5 linked regions of the Rattus norvegicus genome follow. The protein of the gene in region 1 purifies or fractionates together with the protein of each later gene. This does not show direct contact. Links are inferred from orthologs where the notes say so. Each region holds a gene or a part of one and is shown in the gene's direction. Other genes may lie near its edges.

Region 1 (3,517 bases):
AGGTCTTCTCCTTGACTTTTAGGAGATGGCAAGGATGTTTAGAAGTACCCTATTGAACTGTTGACAGTCTGTCTGAGGAGTCAACAGGGAGTAGCATTACATTGTTGTCCAGGTTTGTTTGGTAAGGCAAAGGATCTGACCTTGTTCTTTAGCGTCCCGAGCACAGCTGGCTGGTGTATTAGTACACACCTGTAATCTCAGTTCTTGAGAGGACAGAGCAGAAGATTTGGGAGCTGCAGAATATTCTGGGCTACATGAGACCTTGTCTCAAACAATAAAACAAAAAAACTGTATGAAAGATGAGAGAAATGACTTAGCCAGATGGAGAGAAAACTATATAGCAAAGAGGCTTGTTGCCTTCTGATCTAATATCTTGCTTTTCATTTGCAGATCACCTTCAGCCTCTGTAACATCTACCCCAGCACCTGCAGCCCCTTCTGGGCCTCCAGCCCCTCCAGGGCCTCTTGCTCCTCCTGGACCACCGGCCCCTCCAGCTTTCCACGGCATGTTAGAGCGGGCACCAGCTGAGCCCTCCTATCGTGCCCCTATGGAGAAGCTTTTCTATTTACCTCATGTCTGCAGTTACACTTGTTTGTCCCGGATTAGACCCATGAGGAATGAACAATATCGGGGCAAAAACCCTCTACTGGTCCCACTATTGTATGACTTCCGGAGGATGACAGCACGTCGCAGAGTTAACCGCAAGATGGGCTTCCATGTAATCTATAAGACACCCTGTGGTCTCTGCCTTCGGACGATGCAGGAAATAGAGCGCTACCTTTTTGAGACTGGCTGTGACTTCCTGTACCTGGAGATGTTCTGTTTGGATCCATATGTCCTTGTTGACAGAAAGTTCCAGCCCTTTAAACCTTTTTACTATATTTTGGACATCACCTATGGCAAAGAAGATGTTCCCCTGTCCTGTGTTAATGAGATTGACACAACTCCCCCACCCCAGGTGGCCTACAGCAAGGAACGCATTCCTGGCAAGGGTGTTTTCATTAACACAGGCCCTGAATTTCTGGTTGGCTGTGACTGCAAGGATGGGTGTCGGGATAAGTGAGTTGGTGGGGTGTGCAGACATTGCTGTCTCTGCCTTCAGGTTTAATACAGTTGCTTTTCTTTTTATTCTTTTATTCTTTTTTATTTGTATTGCTTTTTCTATATTCCCTTTCCTCTTTCAGCTAGAATTCTGCTAAGCCATTGTGAAATACAGATACAGAAGCTGGGTGCAGTGGCACAGACCTGTAATCTCAGCATTTGAAATTCAGCACTGCAGCAGGTTCATCTTGAGCTCTGGGCCAGCCTAGGCTAGCTACACAGTGAGATCTTACTGAAAAGAAAAAAAGAAAGACATGAGATAGGGACACCAGGGTCTGATAGTCTTATATGGCCCCATGAGTTACCCTGGGAATTGTTCTGTTCCTATCCCCACTTGCTATTTTTGTCTCCCCTTTTCTTTCTTTCTTTCTTTTTTTTTTTTTTTTTTTTTTTTTTCCGGAGCTGGGGACCGAACCCAGGGCCTTGTGCTTGCTAGGCAAGCGCTCTACCACTGAGCTAATTCCCCAACCCGTCTCCCCTTTTCTTAAACTTTCATCTTGTCTCTGTTTTCTGCACTATGATTCTCTATATCTACTCTACTCTCACTGTATCTTATTCATGCTTGTTCTTACTACCTTTACCCTACCCCCATCCTTTGTGGTTGATTTTTGCCCTAAGGCTCAGGTTTGTTGATGGCTTAAAGGGCTATTGGGAGTCCCTGGTGACTGAGGGTGAGGCCTGGAAGTTCCTGGCAAGTGAAAGAGTTTACATAACCAAGAACTGCTTAAAAGTATGGCTTTTAGCTCCACCTTGCCATAGTAGAGCTTGCTTCTTGCTCAGCATGGCTCTGGAGGTTAGAGCCTTTCTATTTCTCAAAATTTAGGCAGTCCTTGCCAACAAGGTCACCCACTCAGCAGGTGCACCTCCTTACCACAATGGGCACCTTGGGCATGGAAGAGCCTGGCTTAAGATGAGTGACTATAGCTAGCAGGTCCTAAGTTGTGTGTTCAGCTCAGTTTTTATTTAAGATGGCTCAAGCCAGCCGGAACTTACTAGCTGAGGATAGCAGTTAACCACTGATCCTCCAACTTCTATGTCTCAAATGTTGATTACAGATGTGGATCACTATGCCCAGCCCTCATCCTCATGAACCTAAGAACCACAGCTGTAGTTACCTTCTCTCTCTCTGCAGATCCAAGTGTGCCTGCCATCAGCTCACTGTCCAGGCCACAGCCTGTACCCCAGGGGGTCAGATCAACCCTAGCTCCGGCTACCAGCACAAAAGACTAGAAGAGTGTCTGCCCACAGGGTAAGTAGTCAGTTTGCCCAAGTCCTCAGAGGAGTACATTCTTGTTTTTCTGTTTGTAAGAACCTTTGGAAACCTAACTTGCCAGGAGGCTGAAACAGGAAGATAGTTTCAGATCCATCTGAGCTATAATACTAAAATTCTGTCTCAAAAAATATATGAGAGTAATTAGAGAGTTTTCACTACTTTTTCTTATGCAGAAATCTTAGAAGGATGTGATAGCATATGCTTGTAATCCCAGCACTCAGGAGGCAGATGCAGAAGGATTGCTTGATTTCTAGGTCTGCTTAGACAATGCAGCAACACCTTGTGTAGAAACAAACAAAAATGGAATTGGCAGTGCTCAGCAGTTCAGAGTGAAGCACCTGTTCCTGCAGAGGACTTGGTTTGATTCTAGCACCTACATGGTGGCTCATAGCCACTTGTCACTCCGGTTCCAGGGGATCTGGTACACAAATGCTCACAGACATGCATGCAAACAAAACACTCATATACCTAAGATTAATTTCATAGATGTCTGAATGTTCTGATTATGACGAGTGAATTACAGGGCTTTGTTAACCTAAAATGAAAAGTTAGAATCAGGCCCAGTGGTAGTGGTGTAGTCTTGTAATCTCAGCACTTGGGAGACAGAGGCAGGAAGTTAAAGGACACCCTGGTCTGTTCCAGGCCAGTGAGTGGGGAAAAGAAAGTTAGAGTCAAAATCGTGATAAATAGGTAAGTAGGTAGGATTTTTGTTTTTTTGGTTTTTTTTTTTTTGGGGGGGTTCTTTTTTTCGGAGCTGGGGACCGAACCCAGGGCCTTGCGCTTCCTAGGCAAGCGCTCTACCACTGAGCTAAATCCCCAACCCCGGTAGGTAGGTTTTTAAGTAGCCTTTTAATATTTTTTTTTCTTTTTGGGGGGTGCTATTTGTCTTAGATCAGAAAAACAGAATTTCAAAGATTTCAAAGACCAACTTGGTAATTTTAAGAGAATATATGAGAAGTAATGGGAGCTTAGGCCTTACACTAGAATGGAAATGGCAATGGGGATTAAGGAGGATAGGGCTGAGTGTGTAGCCCAACAGAGGCATGGTTAATATGCACCAAGAATGAAGTAATAAATGAGAGCTGTTGGGTGCATGAGAAAGTACAGCTCTATAGAGAGAGAACTTGTTTGTTGGTTGGTTGG
Region 2 (3,517 bases), on another chromosome or scaffold:
GGAGAAGCAGCGGCTCAAGGAGGAAAGACGAAAGGAGCGACAGGAAGCTCTGGAGTGAGTGGCCAGCCCCTATGGGCATTCCACAGCTGTGTTCCCTGATGAGTCCTTTCTGTTTCTCATTCTCACTCTCTGGAGCTTGATTAGAGAGGTGTAGTTGGCTTCTGGCCTATGTTCTGTGGGGCTGTGGGCTTTGGCTGGCTGGTGGCTACCAGGCTGATTGGGATTTTGGTTTTAAATGCTCTAGTCACATCAGGATTTCTTCTTCAGTTTCCTAACTGGACCATTGCCTCAGTGGATAACCACTGTGTCCCGTGAGGTTTTGACTCTGAAAGAAGTTCACAGGAGCTCTGTATCTCATGAGACATTCTCATTTCTATCCAGATAGTACTGTTCATTTGTTTTTCTCTTTTTGGTTTCATTTCATTTGGTTTTCTGAGACAGGTTTTCTCTGTAGCCATGGCTGTCCTGGAACTCACTCTGTAGACTAGGCTGACCTCATACTCAGAGATCAGCCTGCCTCTGCTGGGATTAAAAGCATATGCCACTATGCCCACCAAAAACAACAACAACAACAAAAAATTCTTTGTTCCTTGCAAGTAGGTAGTTGAGATTAATAAATGGCAAGTGATTTTTGAGCAAGTTTGTTGTATTGCTGCAAATTACTTCGGGCTTTTGATCCTCCTGCCTCCATCTGAGTGCTGAGTGTTGACATGTTGGGAATGGACAACAGCCTGGTGCATGACTAGCCACCACTCTACTCATAGAACCCCAGCCCATCAAGAATTTTATATTGATGGGCAGATGTGATGCATGCCTTTAATCCTCACTCTAGCTAATGCATTCTGTGAGTTGGAGCCTAGTCTACATAGTGAGACCCTCTCTCAAAATAATTTTATTTGGAGTCTTGGGATACCAATAACGTTGGCACATTGGCAGAAGCAGGAGGCCTTGGGTTGCCTAACAAGACTGTCTCAGAAGCAAAAAGAAGAACTTTGAGGTTGTGCATTTTCCTTTGTTAGTCCCAGTGCCAGAGCCTTGTAGAAGATCGGATTTGGGAGGGGCTGATTCCCTGGGCTTACAACTCACTTCTGTCTCCCAGGGCTAAACTGGAAGAGAAGAGGAGGAAAGAGGAGGAGAAGCGATTACGGGAAGAAGAAAAGGTAGCCTGGCTCCCTGCCCTCCATACACCCTCAGATCTTATCTGGGCTGCAGTGCCAGAACTGCTTCCTTACTGTGTGGGTCCCTCATCAGTTGGGAGCAGTATGCCTTCTCAGAATGCTTTGGGTAAGTGCCTGTCTGGTCTCCTTCCCACCACAGCGCATTAAGGCAGAGAAGGCAGAGATCACCAGGTTCTTTCAGAAACCGAAGACTCCGCAGGCTCCCAAGGTGAGCGCCGCCTCAGCTCTCTCTGCTCTAGGCCCAGTTGACTCTTGCTGGGTGTTTACTGCTGTGAGTTTGCTCCATCCACTCTGGTTTTTGAGATCATCTCTTGGAGCTTCATACCTACAAATTGTCTGTAGATTGGCTGGCCAGCAAGCAGGAAGAGGGCTCCCTGCTCCCGCTCCAGTGCCAGATCCCCGTGCCGCGCTCCAGGTTTCATGTGGTTGTTATCTTGGATGGCAGCATTGTACTGACAACACACCTCCTTAGCCTTGCTTTAGGACCACTGAATACATTCCTGTCAGGGTTCAAGTCTGAGCTTTTTCTTTGCCATTAGAAGGCCATGGAGCCCAGCAATGCTGCTCTGGGAGCTGACCTGTGGCTGGCATGGCAGCCATAGGAACAGAGAGGCTTGAGGTGCAATAGAAAGTGTGTGGCCTGAGGCTGCCCTTTCACCTAGCCAGCTTCCCTCACTGCCCACTCTCATTTTTCTCTCCTGACATGGTGTGTTGCTCAAATGCTGGTCCCACAGTGGCTTTGGTGGCTTGGGGTATCTTCGATCCTGGCCCTGGCATGTTAGGATCTAGCTCTGTAGGCTTAGGATTATGGCTGTGTAGGCTGAGGTAGTCTTGAGCTCACCATCTTTCTTCAGCCCCTGAATGCTGTAATTTCAGAACTAAGCACATGCCAGGGTCTGAACATGGTCTCAATGTTTGCACAAAATATTTTATTCTCATCACCTGGCCAGTGTGAGACATGCCATAGTGCTGTGGATTCCAGTGGCAATTCTGAGGTTCCCTGTAGAGCCTTGTTTGTGGGGAAGGAAAGCTGTGGTGACCCTGGCCAGCACCACCATGTGGGAACTGAGGTGTTAGGTGGCCCCTCCTAACCTCTGCCACCTCGGCCTGCAGGTGAGTGAAGAAATGACGCTCGCATCAGCTCAGTGAAGGAGTCTGTTTACATGTAGGAATTTGTTCTGTTCCTCCATCAAGTCCCCAGCTAATCACCCTGTGAAGCTGGAAGTTCATCAGCTACAGCCACTTGACCTGTGACCAATACCAGAGCCAGAGCCAGTGACAAGACCCACTTACCTTACAGTGGGAAGAAACACTGGGGAAGGGCTTGGAGTGCCCTGACGATAGCTTGCTGTAGCCTGCACTGTGTATGGTAGCTTGCCACCTCCTGCGCTTTGTCCCTTCCTGTTCTGCTGGCTGTTTTGGTTTTTGCTTGGGAAGTCTTTTTTTTTTTTTTTTTTTCCTTTTCTATTTTTCGGAGCTGGGGACCGAACCCAGGGCCTTGTGCTTGCTAGGCAAGTGCTCTACCACTGAGCTAAATCCCCAACCCCTTGCTTGGGAAGTCTTATGTTCTGTGGCTTTGACTGCAGAATTAGGGAGGGTTGGGGTTTTGAGCTGTGGGATGTGGCATCCAAACTCAGGTCCTCTGAAAGAGCATGAAGTGAATGGTTATAGAGTGAGGGGGTGACTACACATGATGCACATGTGTAGTTAAGAATGAAACTTAAAGGAGTTAGTTCTTACAATGTGTGGGCTCTGTGTGTGGAATCCAGGTCCTTAGGTTTGGCAGCAAGCAACTGAGTGTCTTTTTCTTTATGATTTTTTTCTTGTATCTGTGTATGCAGAGGTCAGAGGACATTTTCTGTAGTCAATGTTTTTCCTCCCATCGCAGACAGGTTCTTAGAGTTGGACTCAGGATACTAGGCATGGGTGATGAGCTTTTGACCTGCTGAGCCACCCTGTTAGCCCTTGTATATTAGATCTGATTCTGCCTGCCTGTCTGGCCTGTACCTTGGTAAAGCACTAGGGATTCAAGTGGTCAGCTGGGCTATGACTATCTTGTATATTCCTAATGCTACAGGAGGCCCAAGCTGCTGCTTCTCTGACTCAGAGCTTCAGAAAGCCCAGGGCATGCTCTGGGATGTACTGGTTGCTCTCCAAGAAGCCCTGAGGCCAGGCTTTGGTAGCATGGTTTTTAGGAGTTGGCAGCCTCTGGTGTGGCCACTAGAGAGAGCACCAGCCAAGCAGCCTGGCTGGATACAAAGTGCAGCCCTAGTGCACACTGACATAGCTGTCAGAGAGAACAACTGGAGAATACACGGCCAATGGTGGGATGAGTGGCC
Region 3 (2,373 bases), on another chromosome or scaffold:
AATACATCTTTTTTTAAAAAATAAAAATTAAAAAACAAGTTTAAAAGACTGAAGAACCTTGTTGTTTCAGAGTACATCCCTACATACACCCCCAGTTAGAGAAAACCTGGTCCCACCTGAACTGTCATCGGTGTGTACCATAATTAAATGTGCACAGTACTTTCAGTTCACTGGTGTGAGTACTTTAAACCATTTTAAGGACAGGAGAATGCATGAGTTATAGCTGAATGCCTGAGGAACTTGGCTTGGAGGAGGATCCTGAAACCTCCATGGTATGGAAGGATAGCATATTAAACTTTGTAGTATATCAGTTAAATGCTCTGATTTTGAGGTTATTTAAAGTCTTCTGAGATAATGGGATACCAGGTTGGCAGACAGCTTAAAATGAACTCAAAGGGGATAAATATTCTGAACACTGCCTTCCAGCTTTTCCGAAACCATGCCTATTTCTAGTAAGTATTGTTTGCTTGGGTGGTTGTAATTGCCCCATGCTGCTGCATGCCTTTGATCTCAGCATAGGGGGAGGCAAAAGAGGCGGTGGATCTCTGAGCTACATTGTGAGACCCTTAAATAAGTAAAGAAAAATTTTAAATTGTTTAGCTTTACCTAAGGTCAGATTCTTGGGTGGCAGGGCTGGGGTGGGGGGAGTCAAAAGACTAGCTTGTGTGAATTCTTTTTTTTCTAAGACATGCTGTCTGGAACTCACTATGTAGACTAGGCTGGCCTTGAACTCACATTATTCTGCCTCCAAAAGTGTTGGGCTCGTGCAGTCTTCTGTCTCCTTTACATGGTATAAGGCACTCACAGTGAACTGACAGCACTGAGCACAAGTAATTATGGTGCTCACTAGTACGTCGTTCAGGTTTCCCACTGTAGGGTTCTCTAACTCGGGGTGTTTGTAGGGACGTACTCTGGAGCTATGAGGGTATGAGGTTCCTCAGTCTCTTAAACTGTTTTTCTAAAGGCATGGGCTGCCACACTCCGGTGAACTCTTTAAAAGAAGGTAGAATTCCATTAGAATAGGACTACTGTCTGCTTGGGTCTTCCTGGGGAAGGTTAGGACATGGGACTTCACAGTGAGTCTCTCCTTACCACGTTCTTTTTCTGTGTGGCATCTACAGGTCATCCACGACTTCTTATTCTCCTTGAAGGAAAGCCCTGAAAAGTTTCAGATTGAAGCCAATTTTCCAAGACGGGTACTTCCCTGTGTCCCTTCAGAGGAATGGCCCAACCCCCCCACCCTGCAGGAGGCGGGACTAAGCCACACAGAAGTTCTCTTTGTTCAGGACCTGACAGACGAATGACACTTTTCTGCCTCCTTCTTCCCACCCCAATCCCTAAAAGAAATGGAAAAACAAAAACAGAGAACAAGAGATAAATTCATATTATTATTATTATTATAATACAATATTTTTTTTAAAAAAACTGCTGCATCCTGCGGAAGGATCGGAAACCATGCTGCCTGCAAGAGGCACAGCCTGTGTGCGTGTGCAAGGCCGGCAGTGAATGCACCTGCCCAGCAGACTCGCCTTCCACAGCCGCCTCTCCATCCTCCAGTGAAGACTTCACCTCCAACCCATCCCTCCGCCCACGTGGGGAAGGAGACATTCCCACTGTTTCTCAGTCATTCTTGCTTTTGTAGAAAAGAAAAAAAGAAACCCACCATCAGCTCCAGCAGCAGCTCCTGAGGACCTGCTTCTCCTACTTCCAGAGGAAGAGGGGAGAGAAGGATGGACTGACTGCCCACAGTTCATGAATAACTTTGTTTCTGTTTGCTTTGTAATGATAATGACCAAAGGAGTGAGGCTGACTTAGGTGTATTTTTTCCTCAGATTTGATAAAGAGCCAGTGCCCTGGGCTCCATGGCCCACGGCGGTGTAATAAAGGTGCCCTGGGCTCATTTGTGCTTCCTTCTGCCACTGTTCCTCTCACGGTCCCAGAGGTATCCCATTTGGAGCAATGAGAGGAAGTCTGGGATTGTGACCCACAAAAGGCTGTGTGTGGGGTGTGTGTTCCCTTTACACACACATACAGCTTCTCCTTGGCATCTGTACCAGGTGGTGGTGAAGGGGTCTCAGCCAAAGGACAGCAGCTCCTGCTTCCCCTCTGACTGCACACACTGCTCTTCCCGGCTTTCCTAACTTGCCGAGCTCGGTGCCTTTCCAGAGGACTAGGGCCCGGGCCCTCCGTCCCACCTGCGGAGGCTCGTCCTGTTTGAGTGCACATATGATAATGATGTTTAAGGATATAGACCCATCGCAGGCATGGTGGTGTGCTGGGAGGCAGAGGCAGCAGATCTCTGAATTCCAGGCCAGCCTGGTCTACAGAGTGAGGAGGCCCTGTCTCAAAGTTTTGAACCAGAAACTTTGAAAG
Region 4 (4,079 bases), on another chromosome or scaffold:
ATGTGTTCATCTCATGGTTCTGGCAATTCTGGGTTGATGCTATCACCTAATAGCAGAGCCCTTGCCTAGCTTGTGGATGGGCTGGCACTGGAAAGATTCTGGATACTGTACCATATTTCATGTCCCCAGTGGGTTGCTTCTTCAATTTTAAATCCCTTGGGTTTGCCTGTTTAATGTCCTTTGTTGAAGAGTCAAGTACAGGACAGTAATTAAAGCTGTGAGCTTCTTTGGAGAGAAGAGTCTCAAGCTCCAGATGATCTGGGAGCCCATGGCCCCAGGTTGTCCTTGTTCTCTCAAGATCTCCCTCATCCTCCCTGAGTGCCGCTGGGAGTTGAGCCACATCTGCCTATGGGAGTATAGATTTCCTCAGCCCTGACAGCTACTTAAGTTTTGGAACACAGTGATTGCTTAAATTACTATTGAATAAATACTTTAAGGGAGAAATTAAGTTTAAGGGATTAAATTTCCCACCCATTTTTTTCCTGGCCCTTACTGATATACAAAAAGCATATTTAGGATCTTTTCTACAGTCTGAGTCAGTAATTGTTTGGTGGAACAGTAATTATTATCTGTATTTCAGAGATACGTGAGTTTATGAGGTGTGAGGGTATGACTGGTAGTACTTGCTCTGTTACAGATTACCCCCCCCCAAAGATGTTTATCTCCACCTCTTGTGATTAATACAATTAGTTTAGTGAACTTTAAGTGATACCTGTAAGCAACACTTGAGAGGTTGAGGCCGACTGATTTCAAATTCCAGACCTGTGTGGGCTACGTGGCAAGTTCAATGCTAGACTGAACTAAATTGCATGAATCTTCCTCAACATTACAAAACAAAAAGATAAAAATTAACAAAAATTAATGTTAATAATTTTCCGTACTCTAGGCTTCTAGACTTTATGGAAAAGTCTTTTCGCTTTTTAAGCACTCACCTACTTCTTTTCTCAAGTTTCATGGAGGGGTGGCTACTGAGGAATCTCCATGCAAAAACAAAACAAAACAAAAAAACACCTCGAGGATTAAAAAAGAGGCAACCGGAAAAAAATTCACCTCCGGACGCGATTGAAAAGACCGCAGCGCCACCACGGCAGACGGGCCTCATTTTTCAAGGCAGGAGGCGTGGCCAAAATCCCTCATTCAAATAAAAAACCAGGAGATTTGCATGGAGAATAGGCATCGCGCGCTCTCATTGGCCGATCGCGCAGTGGGTGGAGTACATAGTGCGCCCACGAAGCTCCGCCCCCACCTATTTGCATAACGGCCCCGGCGCGTGCTGGGGAGAAGCGGGTTTGTTTTTGAATCTGCGGTGGCGGCGAGTGGAGCGCACGGCTGAGACGGCAGCGTCCGGGACGGCTGCGCGGGACGGCTGCGTAGGAAGGAACTCGGGTCCCAGGCCCTCACCTCCCGCCCCCGAAGGTATATGCGAGTGCCAGGGGCTGTTCTAACCACAGTCGGCGAAATGACTATTGTATTTCGGAAGAGTCAAGACCGCATTATGGCGGCTGCGGGAGTTGAGTGTGCGCCTGCGCGGTTGCGAAGCTGCGGGCGGGCGCTGCATGGGAGCACGTGATCGCTGGGGGTCGGGCTCTAGCTGCAGTTGAGCAGCTGTCCGGGCGGTGGCTGCGCAAGCGCAATATTCATTTTCAAGAGCTAATGTTCTTGTTGGACGCCATTTGGGTTCTAGATTTAATTTTTCTCATTCTCGAGGGGGTTTCGTCTCGTGCCTCTTCTTTTCACATTTTCCGAGGGAAACGTTTCTCTCGTGTCTTAAACCTTCCCGCACCTCAAAATTCTTAGTTTCTCTGACTGTCTCACCGGTGCAGACTTGATTTTTTGGTACAAATTGTCTCTTGTGGTTCTCGATTATAATTTCACGTTTAGTTAGGTGTTTCTGGATTTGCATTGCATTAAGGGAGATAAGATCAGCACCTAGTGGTGTTCTCGGGGGAAGTGCATTTACTTCAGCTGCACTTTTGTAAATACATTTTTAACCCTGTGGTTACCAGTTCGCTTTTGGATGTGCAGTGTTTACAAAATAGAAACTTAGAAAAATAGAAACCATTTTATTTTTGTATTGTTTAGTTTCCGAGGAGAATTAGAAAATGTACAAATTGGGTTGAAATCTCAGTTTTTTCAGGTATTCTATCTTTTCTTTTAAAGAAAATATTTCATCTGGTCAATGAAGTTTTAATCCTGAACAGTTTGCCAAGTACTTGAATCTTTTGTTTTTAGTTTTAGTATTTTTTCAGTTATTTAAATATTAAAAATGAACTCGTTTTCTCATCATTTTGTAATGACGTATAAGCTATTATACCTGATACCGGTTTTTGATGAAGAATTTTACAAATAATTCCAAGTTATATTGAGGCCTTTATGTATTCAGGGAATCAATTAAAATTTTTGAGTTTTTAAAAAAATATGTGCACTGTAGTATATGTGTATGATTGTATGCTTTACATATTTTTTAGCTGTATATGTTCTGGTTTTAGTTTCTTAAAATAACTGGTGTGCTACTGATTAAAGTTGTGGTGCCACTAAATTTCAGTTGTACGTAGAATAATTGGGTCAATATACATATAATTTAAAATATCATTTTTTTATTCTGCCACTTGTTTCTTACTGGTCTAAAAACTTGTAAATGGTTTCATAAACTTTATCTGTCATTCACATGTACAGTCCCTTTTTAGTTGATTATGTAACCCAAGTTTAACTCAGTCTGTTGTCAAGTTAAAGTGTTGTTTTATATAATGTCGATTGGTTTGGGGTATCTCTATTACCTGAAACAAGTACTATTAGAAATAGCAGGGTATAAGTGAAAGGAGCTTTTTTCTTTTTTCTTTTTTTTTTTTTTAAATGATGTGACATATGGCATCGAATGGAAGGATGAGGAAGATCTTGTCTTTTCTCCCCCTGTAGCAAGCAGGTCTAAATTTGATGTAATGGGACTCTTGAGCCTCTGTTGTCTTGTAAAAGGAATGGAGGCAGTTCTGCCTTTTTGAGACTTTGATGCTTCTGAGGCGGTTCCCCTCACCCCATGTTTGTACTCCTAGTACTTGGGTTTATGTATTTAAAATTACACTTTTCTTTGAATGCATGGGTAACTGTGTCATGAATTAATATTGAAGATCATAGAGGCACTGGAAAACTGTATAACATTCAATTTCAATATCGATGGCACAGTTTTACTACTATATTTCTTTTTTTTTTTTTTTTTTTGGTTCTTTTTTTCGGAGCTGGGGACCGAACCCAGGGCCTTGCGCTTCCTAGGTAAGCACTCTACCACTGAGCTAAATCCCCAGCCCCCGCTACTATATTTCTTAGAAGGCAAATGTAATTTTAAGGACTGGGGAGATGGCTCAGCGGTTAAGAGCACTGACTGCTCTTCCAGAGGTCCTGAGTTCAAATCCCAGCAACTACATGGTCGCTCACAATCATCTGTAATGAGATCTGATGCTCTCTTGTGGTGTGTCTGAAGACAGCTACACTGTATATAATAAATAAATCTTTTTTTAAAATGTAATTTTAAGTTTACTAAAAATGAATTGTCTGAAGGTCAATGGTTGTATTTCAGAAACAAGTACTAAAAGTTTGAAGTTTTAGTTTGGTTATGATTAAATGAAGCTTTAACATACACTGTGTATATATGTATATTATATGTTTTATATATTATATGTTTTATATATATTATATATAATATATATGTACACACACATACTAGGTTACCCAAAGTAGAACAATTACTGAAGCTATTTAAAAATATAGTAGTTTTGTAAATTTTAAATATGTAGTTAGAAAAAAAATCAGGCTGGAATGATTTAAGTCATAAAATTAAAATTTTATTTTTTACAAATTACTTGATCTTTGTGCTATGTTTGAATATTTTACACTTATACATTATGAAGATTTAGTATGAAGTTAATAATCTTAACTACTCTGGGATCTTTGTGACTTCACTTTTGCTGTGGTAGATCAGTCTATAAAAATTTATCACTTAATGTTTGTTTGTTTAGTCATTTCTTTATTTTTTTCCAAGACTAGCTTTCTCTGCCCTGGCTGTTCTCGAACTCACTATGGAGACC
Region 5 (4,197 bases), on another chromosome or scaffold:
TGCTATACAGTGTAGTATCTCTTGCCATGCTAACACTAGAGTACAATGAAGTCTGGAAATCTGTAATAAATTGCACTTTGAGAAATCCTAGATCTTCCTAACTTTTCTGGTATATGTACATGTTACTGTGGGCTGTGTACATGTGCATGCACACGTGTATGCTAGAGGTCAATGTCGGGCATCTCCCTTGATTGTGATCCATTTTATTTTTAATTTTATTACATTTATTGTGCGTGTGTGTGAGCATATAGATATGTAGGCCAGAGTTGAGCATCTTCCTTGATTGATTTCGTAGTATTTAAATTTTTTTACTACATTTATTTGGGCTATGTGTGTACACACATCTACCAAGGTGCAGGTGTGGAGAACAGAAGACAGCTTACAGGAATGGGTTCTGTCTTATAAAAGCAAGTTCAGGCCTCCTGACACAACTCCAGCACTTTGTTGCTGGATGTGGCTTTTACATGGATGCCGAGAATGAGAATCTGAATTCAAGCCTTTACGCTAGCATAGCCGACACTTTACTGAGCCATCTCCACAGCCCCTTGCCCAATTCTTTGGTCTTTCCGCATTTTCTGCCTTTAGCAGCCAGTTCTCACACGCGGAGTTTTCCCTTTAAATCGGGGATCCACTGATAAGTAGCCCCAAGGTTTCATCATTCTGCTCCCTATTGTGAGGGCCTAGCTAGATGCTATGGCTGATGAATCATGATGTAAACGAGGAGCAACCAAATTGAACCACAGTAATCAAGTGACAGTGTGAGTGTCTAGAGAGAGCTATTGGGAGCTGACAATTTGTTCTCATCTAATCTCAGTCTACCTTAGGACATGGGTGGACATTGTCATTTATGAGACATTTCCTTCAGAGGTAGATGGAGAAAAGGGCTGACTGGCTGACAGCGTGATGGGGACAGCTTGAGGGAATAGTAGGCTGCCTAACGGCACAAGGGCTGTGTTTCAGTGAACTCAAACGGCTGCAGGGCACAGACGGATGCTACTATTGACTGACGTAGTGCGAATGAAGAAGCGAGTGATCTGAACGGACACCTGATGGCAGCGACCGACTTATTTTTTATTTGAATCAGATGACTGACTGAACACCTATATATGGCTCTAGATCCACCCTGGAAGTGAATGCTTGCTCTAGGTTAAAATATGACGGGCAGAATTGGGGTCGGACAAAACAATCCCTTTATGACTGGCTGACGACATGATTGGCTAGCACTATGACTGACAGGAGGTAGAGCCTGGAGCAAAGTCAACCATTGCTCCTGCGCAGGCGCAGCACATTGAATAAAAGCAGCAGGCACGGGCGCTCGAGACCACTCCTGGTGACGGGAGGTGCTGCTGCGCAGGCGCATGCTGAATAAAAGCAGCGAGCACCGGCGCTCGAGACCACTCCTGGTGACGGGAGGAGTCCAGTCACAGCTCCCCGGTTGGTCTGAGCGGGAGCTGCGGGCGGTGAGGAACGGCCAATAGACTGCGCGTCCCCGGCCACGCCCGCGCGCGCTCTCTTCTCGCGAGGCCTTTTAGGCCCGAATGTCGTTAGCTGTGGAGAAAGATGGCGGAAAATTTAAAAGGTGAAGCTGTGGTGGTAGAGACGCAAGCTACTGGCCCGGCCGAGTAGAATGGAGGGAAGGTGTCCAGGGTTCCGAGCCGGGCGTCCGGAGCCACGGAACCTGGAGCTAGAAGGCCGGCGCGGAAAACGTGGGGCCCGAGAGCGCGGGCCGGGCGCGCGGGCAGGGCGGGGCTGAGGGGAGGGGGCGCGTGCTTCGGCCGCGGGGGGCGCGGGGCTGCGCAGACTGCGCGCGGGGTTTCTCGGCCGCGCGCGGCTGGCCGGCGCGCCTACGCGCGTGAGAGAGTCCTGAAGAGAAGGTTGCGGCCACGCGCGGGAAAAGCGGCTCTCAGTGACCGTTACCCTTTCGGTTTCCACGGGAGACGCCGGAAGGGGAGGAAGAAGTGGAACGGACCCCCTTCTCAAAATGGGGGAACCGGCGACTCTAGGTGGGAAAGGGATCTCGGCCAGATGGGGGCAGGGTTTAGGGGTGGACGATTCTCCCCAGAAAGCGGGATTGGGGGCCTCGGTGAGGAGGGCAGGGCTCCTCCATGTGCAGGAAAAGAGGGGTGACTGTGCGTGTTGGGCGGGCTCCTCGGCAGTGAGTAAAGCTGTGAGCATAGATTCCACAAGTGTGAGCAGGAGCTCGGATGGGTAGGAGTGCGGCTGCGGTTAGTGCGCAGCCAGATGCTGGAGATGTTATTTTCAGGCCACTTCTCAGGGGTTTCAAAGGCTTTTCCAACACGGGTTAGAGGCTTTGGGCAAGGAAAGGCCTTGGGTAAAAGGATGAGTGTACACGCAATGAGTTTTTTGAAACTGTTTTGTATGTTCTTAGATTACAATCTAGAGTATCTTATTAGGATCGTTTTAGGTTTGAGTAGAAAGATGGAGTTGGTTATTGACAGCATACCCCTAGCATCAAGTGGTTTTGTGACATATTTGATTTTTAAAAATGGCTTCTAAAATTACGTTGAAGGGATGTGCTCTGAAGCAAAAAAAAATGTGTATATTTTAAATCTGTTTCGCTTGAACAATTTTGGTGACCCTCAAGAGTGTCAGCGACTTACCACATGTATTGTTTGCATGTTACCGAATTAAGAGCAGATCCCTTTAGATTGAGTTGTACTTTTAAGAGAAACGTGGGATGAGACAGCAAGTGATAATGCAGCCTGGAAAAATAGGCCTTGGGTATATAAAGTGGTCTAGAATAAGTCCAAGAAGCTTCCAGTAATGTAGTACCCCTCCACCCCCCGGACAGACTGGCTGTTCTGGAACTCAGATTGACTTGCCTCTGCCTTTCAAGTGCCCAGTCTAAAGCACCACTATGTCCACCTTAATGTAATGTCTTTCTACAGTCTTTATAATTCAAGAATCTAAAAAAAACATTGAACTAGAAGTCTTTCTGAAATTTGTCACTAATCATGGCAAGAGATTTTTACAAGTGGGATTATTCAGTGAGAATATTTATTTTAATATGAATAATCAAGGCTTTTGCTATAGATGTGTTTGCTATTAATGTGTTTTGATTATAGATGGCTTAACGTCCTAGACCCTGCCAGGAATTCGCCTAAAATTACTTGTGTAAAATTCCCAAATGTTTGATCCAAAATCCAGTGGCCCAGAAGTTTCAAGATAAGTGAAGACTTTACAGCAACACCTCTGGTGCCCTAGTGATTTTCGCCCTACCCTGCCTCCCTTAGTCAACGCACCCCACTGAGCTAGGAAGCTATTGTCTTTTCTTTTGCAAAGTGCAATGAGCATTGATTAAGGCTCTGACCTCAGGTAAGTTTGCTGGGAGCTTAAGGCCTTGGATGTTCTGGGAGTGGATCCCTTTATGGACTTGACAATTGCTACAAGCTCCACATCATCCTTGCTATTTCAGAGTTAGGGGGGTAGGGTTTGGAGTTGAAGATTCCCCCAGAAGAGGGCGTAGGTCCTCTGATCGGAGAACTGGACTCTTCCATGTGCACAGAAAGACAGGTTGGGTAACTTTTTCTGGTGTTGCCCTGAGATTTGAACATTAGGTTTCAAGGAATTGTCATTTCTTGTTACAGAGGATTTTAGCTTTGAGTAAGACCTGTGATTACATTTTTTTGTGGGTCTTTGGCCTTCTCATTCCAGGTTGCAGTGTGTGCTGTAAATCTTCCTGGAATCAGCTGCAGGATCTGTGCCGACTAGCCAAGCTTTCTTGTCCTGCCCTTGGTGTTTCTAAGAAGAATCTGTATGACTTTGAAGTTGAATACCTGTGTGATTATAAGAAGATCCGTGTAAGTCTGGGGTGTGTGTGATACTACACTGGAGGGGACCCTCTTTTCTACCCAACCCTCACATCTGTTTGCAAAGAGGATTTTTCTCTGATTCATCCTGGGGGAGAATGGGATGAATTGACCCTCTTATTTCTATTTTACAGGGAGGGAAATTAAGTGACTTTCTTAGAGAACAAGAGGCAGAATGAATCGTCAAATGCATGTCTATTTCCACCTAGAAATAGAATAGTTACAAAATTGAAATTCTATGCCTAAGAGTGGAAGATGACAACAGGTAGTAGAAACAGTTACTGATGCCACAGAAGTAGTAGCAGGTTAGAGGAGCCCACTGAAAGCAGCATGTTTAGTTGAAATGTAGCCTTCAGTTTCTTGTCTG

Evidence for each region.
Region 2: the proteins of Setdb1 (region 1) and Chaf1a purify together in Homo sapiens (affinity purification with western blotting; 3 studies listed by BioGRID and IntAct, with this or other methods). This does not show direct contact. The link is inferred for Rattus norvegicus from reciprocal best matches to the Homo sapiens genes SETDB1 and CHAF1A.
Region 3: the proteins of Setdb1 (region 1) and Faf2 purify together in Homo sapiens (affinity purification with mass spectrometry; 3 studies listed by BioGRID and IntAct, counting the BioPlex papers as one, with this or other methods). This does not show direct contact. The link is inferred for Rattus norvegicus from reciprocal best matches to the Homo sapiens genes SETDB1 and FAF2.
Region 4: the proteins of Setdb1 (region 1) and Atf7ip purify together in Homo sapiens (affinity purification with mass spectrometry; 6 studies listed by BioGRID and IntAct, counting the BioPlex papers as one, with this or other methods). This does not show direct contact. The link is inferred for Rattus norvegicus from reciprocal best matches to the Homo sapiens genes SETDB1 and ATF7IP.
Region 5: the proteins of Setdb1 (region 1) and Suv39h1 purify together in Homo sapiens (affinity purification with mass spectrometry; 3 studies listed by BioGRID and IntAct, counting the BioPlex papers as one, with this or other methods). This does not show direct contact. The link is inferred for Rattus norvegicus from reciprocal best matches to the Homo sapiens genes SETDB1 and SUV39H1.

Annotation. Positions count from the first base shown.
Region 1 is NC_086020.1:185,598,482-185,601,998, reverse strand, and holds part of Setdb1 (histone-lysine N-methyltransferase SETDB1), read left to right. Parts: intron 1-390; coding exon 391-1,059; intron 1,060-2,233; coding exon 2,234-2,350; intron 2,351-3,517. UniProt on the Homo sapiens protein: Histone methyltransferase that specifically trimethylates 'Lys-9' of histone H3. H3 'Lys-9' trimethylation represents a specific tag for epigenetic transcriptional repression by recruiting HP1 (CBX1, CBX3 and/or CBX5) proteins to methylated histones.
Region 2 is NC_086027.1:978,217-981,733, forward strand, and holds part of Chaf1a (chromatin assembly factor 1 subunit A), read left to right. Parts: coding exon 1-54; intron 55-1,099; coding exon 1,100-1,160; intron 1,161-1,317; coding exon 1,318-1,386; intron 1,387-3,517. UniProt on the Homo sapiens protein: Acts as a component of the histone chaperone complex chromatin assembly factor 1 (CAF-1), which assembles histone octamers onto DNA during replication and repair.
Region 3 is NC_086035.1:9,954,177-9,956,549, reverse strand, and holds part of Faf2 (FAS-associated factor 2), read left to right. Parts: intron 1-1,121; coding exon 1,122-1,304; 3' UTR 1,305-2,373. UniProt on the Homo sapiens protein: Plays an important role in endoplasmic reticulum-associated degradation (ERAD) that mediates ubiquitin-dependent degradation of misfolded endoplasmic reticulum proteins.
Region 4 is NC_086022.1:171,115,859-171,119,937, forward strand, and holds the start of Atf7ip (activating transcription factor 7-interacting protein 1), read left to right. Parts: upstream 1-1,263; 5' UTR 1,264-1,416; exon of another isoform or gene 1,417-1,464; intron 1,465-4,079. UniProt on the Homo sapiens protein: Recruiter that couples transcriptional factors to general transcription apparatus and thereby modulates transcription regulation and chromatin formation. Can both act as an activator or a repressor depending on the context.
Region 5 is NC_086039.1:17,091,666-17,095,862, forward strand, and holds the start of Suv39h1 (histone-lysine N-methyltransferase SUV39H1), read left to right. Parts: upstream 1-1,393; 5' UTR 1,394-1,560; coding exon 1,561-1,579; exon of another isoform or gene 1,580-1,981; coding exon of another isoform or gene 1,982-2,003; intron 2,004-3,675; coding exon 3,676-3,821; intron 3,822-4,197. UniProt on the Homo sapiens protein: Histone methyltransferase that specifically trimethylates 'Lys-9' of histone H3 using monomethylated H3 'Lys-9' as substrate. Also weakly methylates histone H1 (in vitro).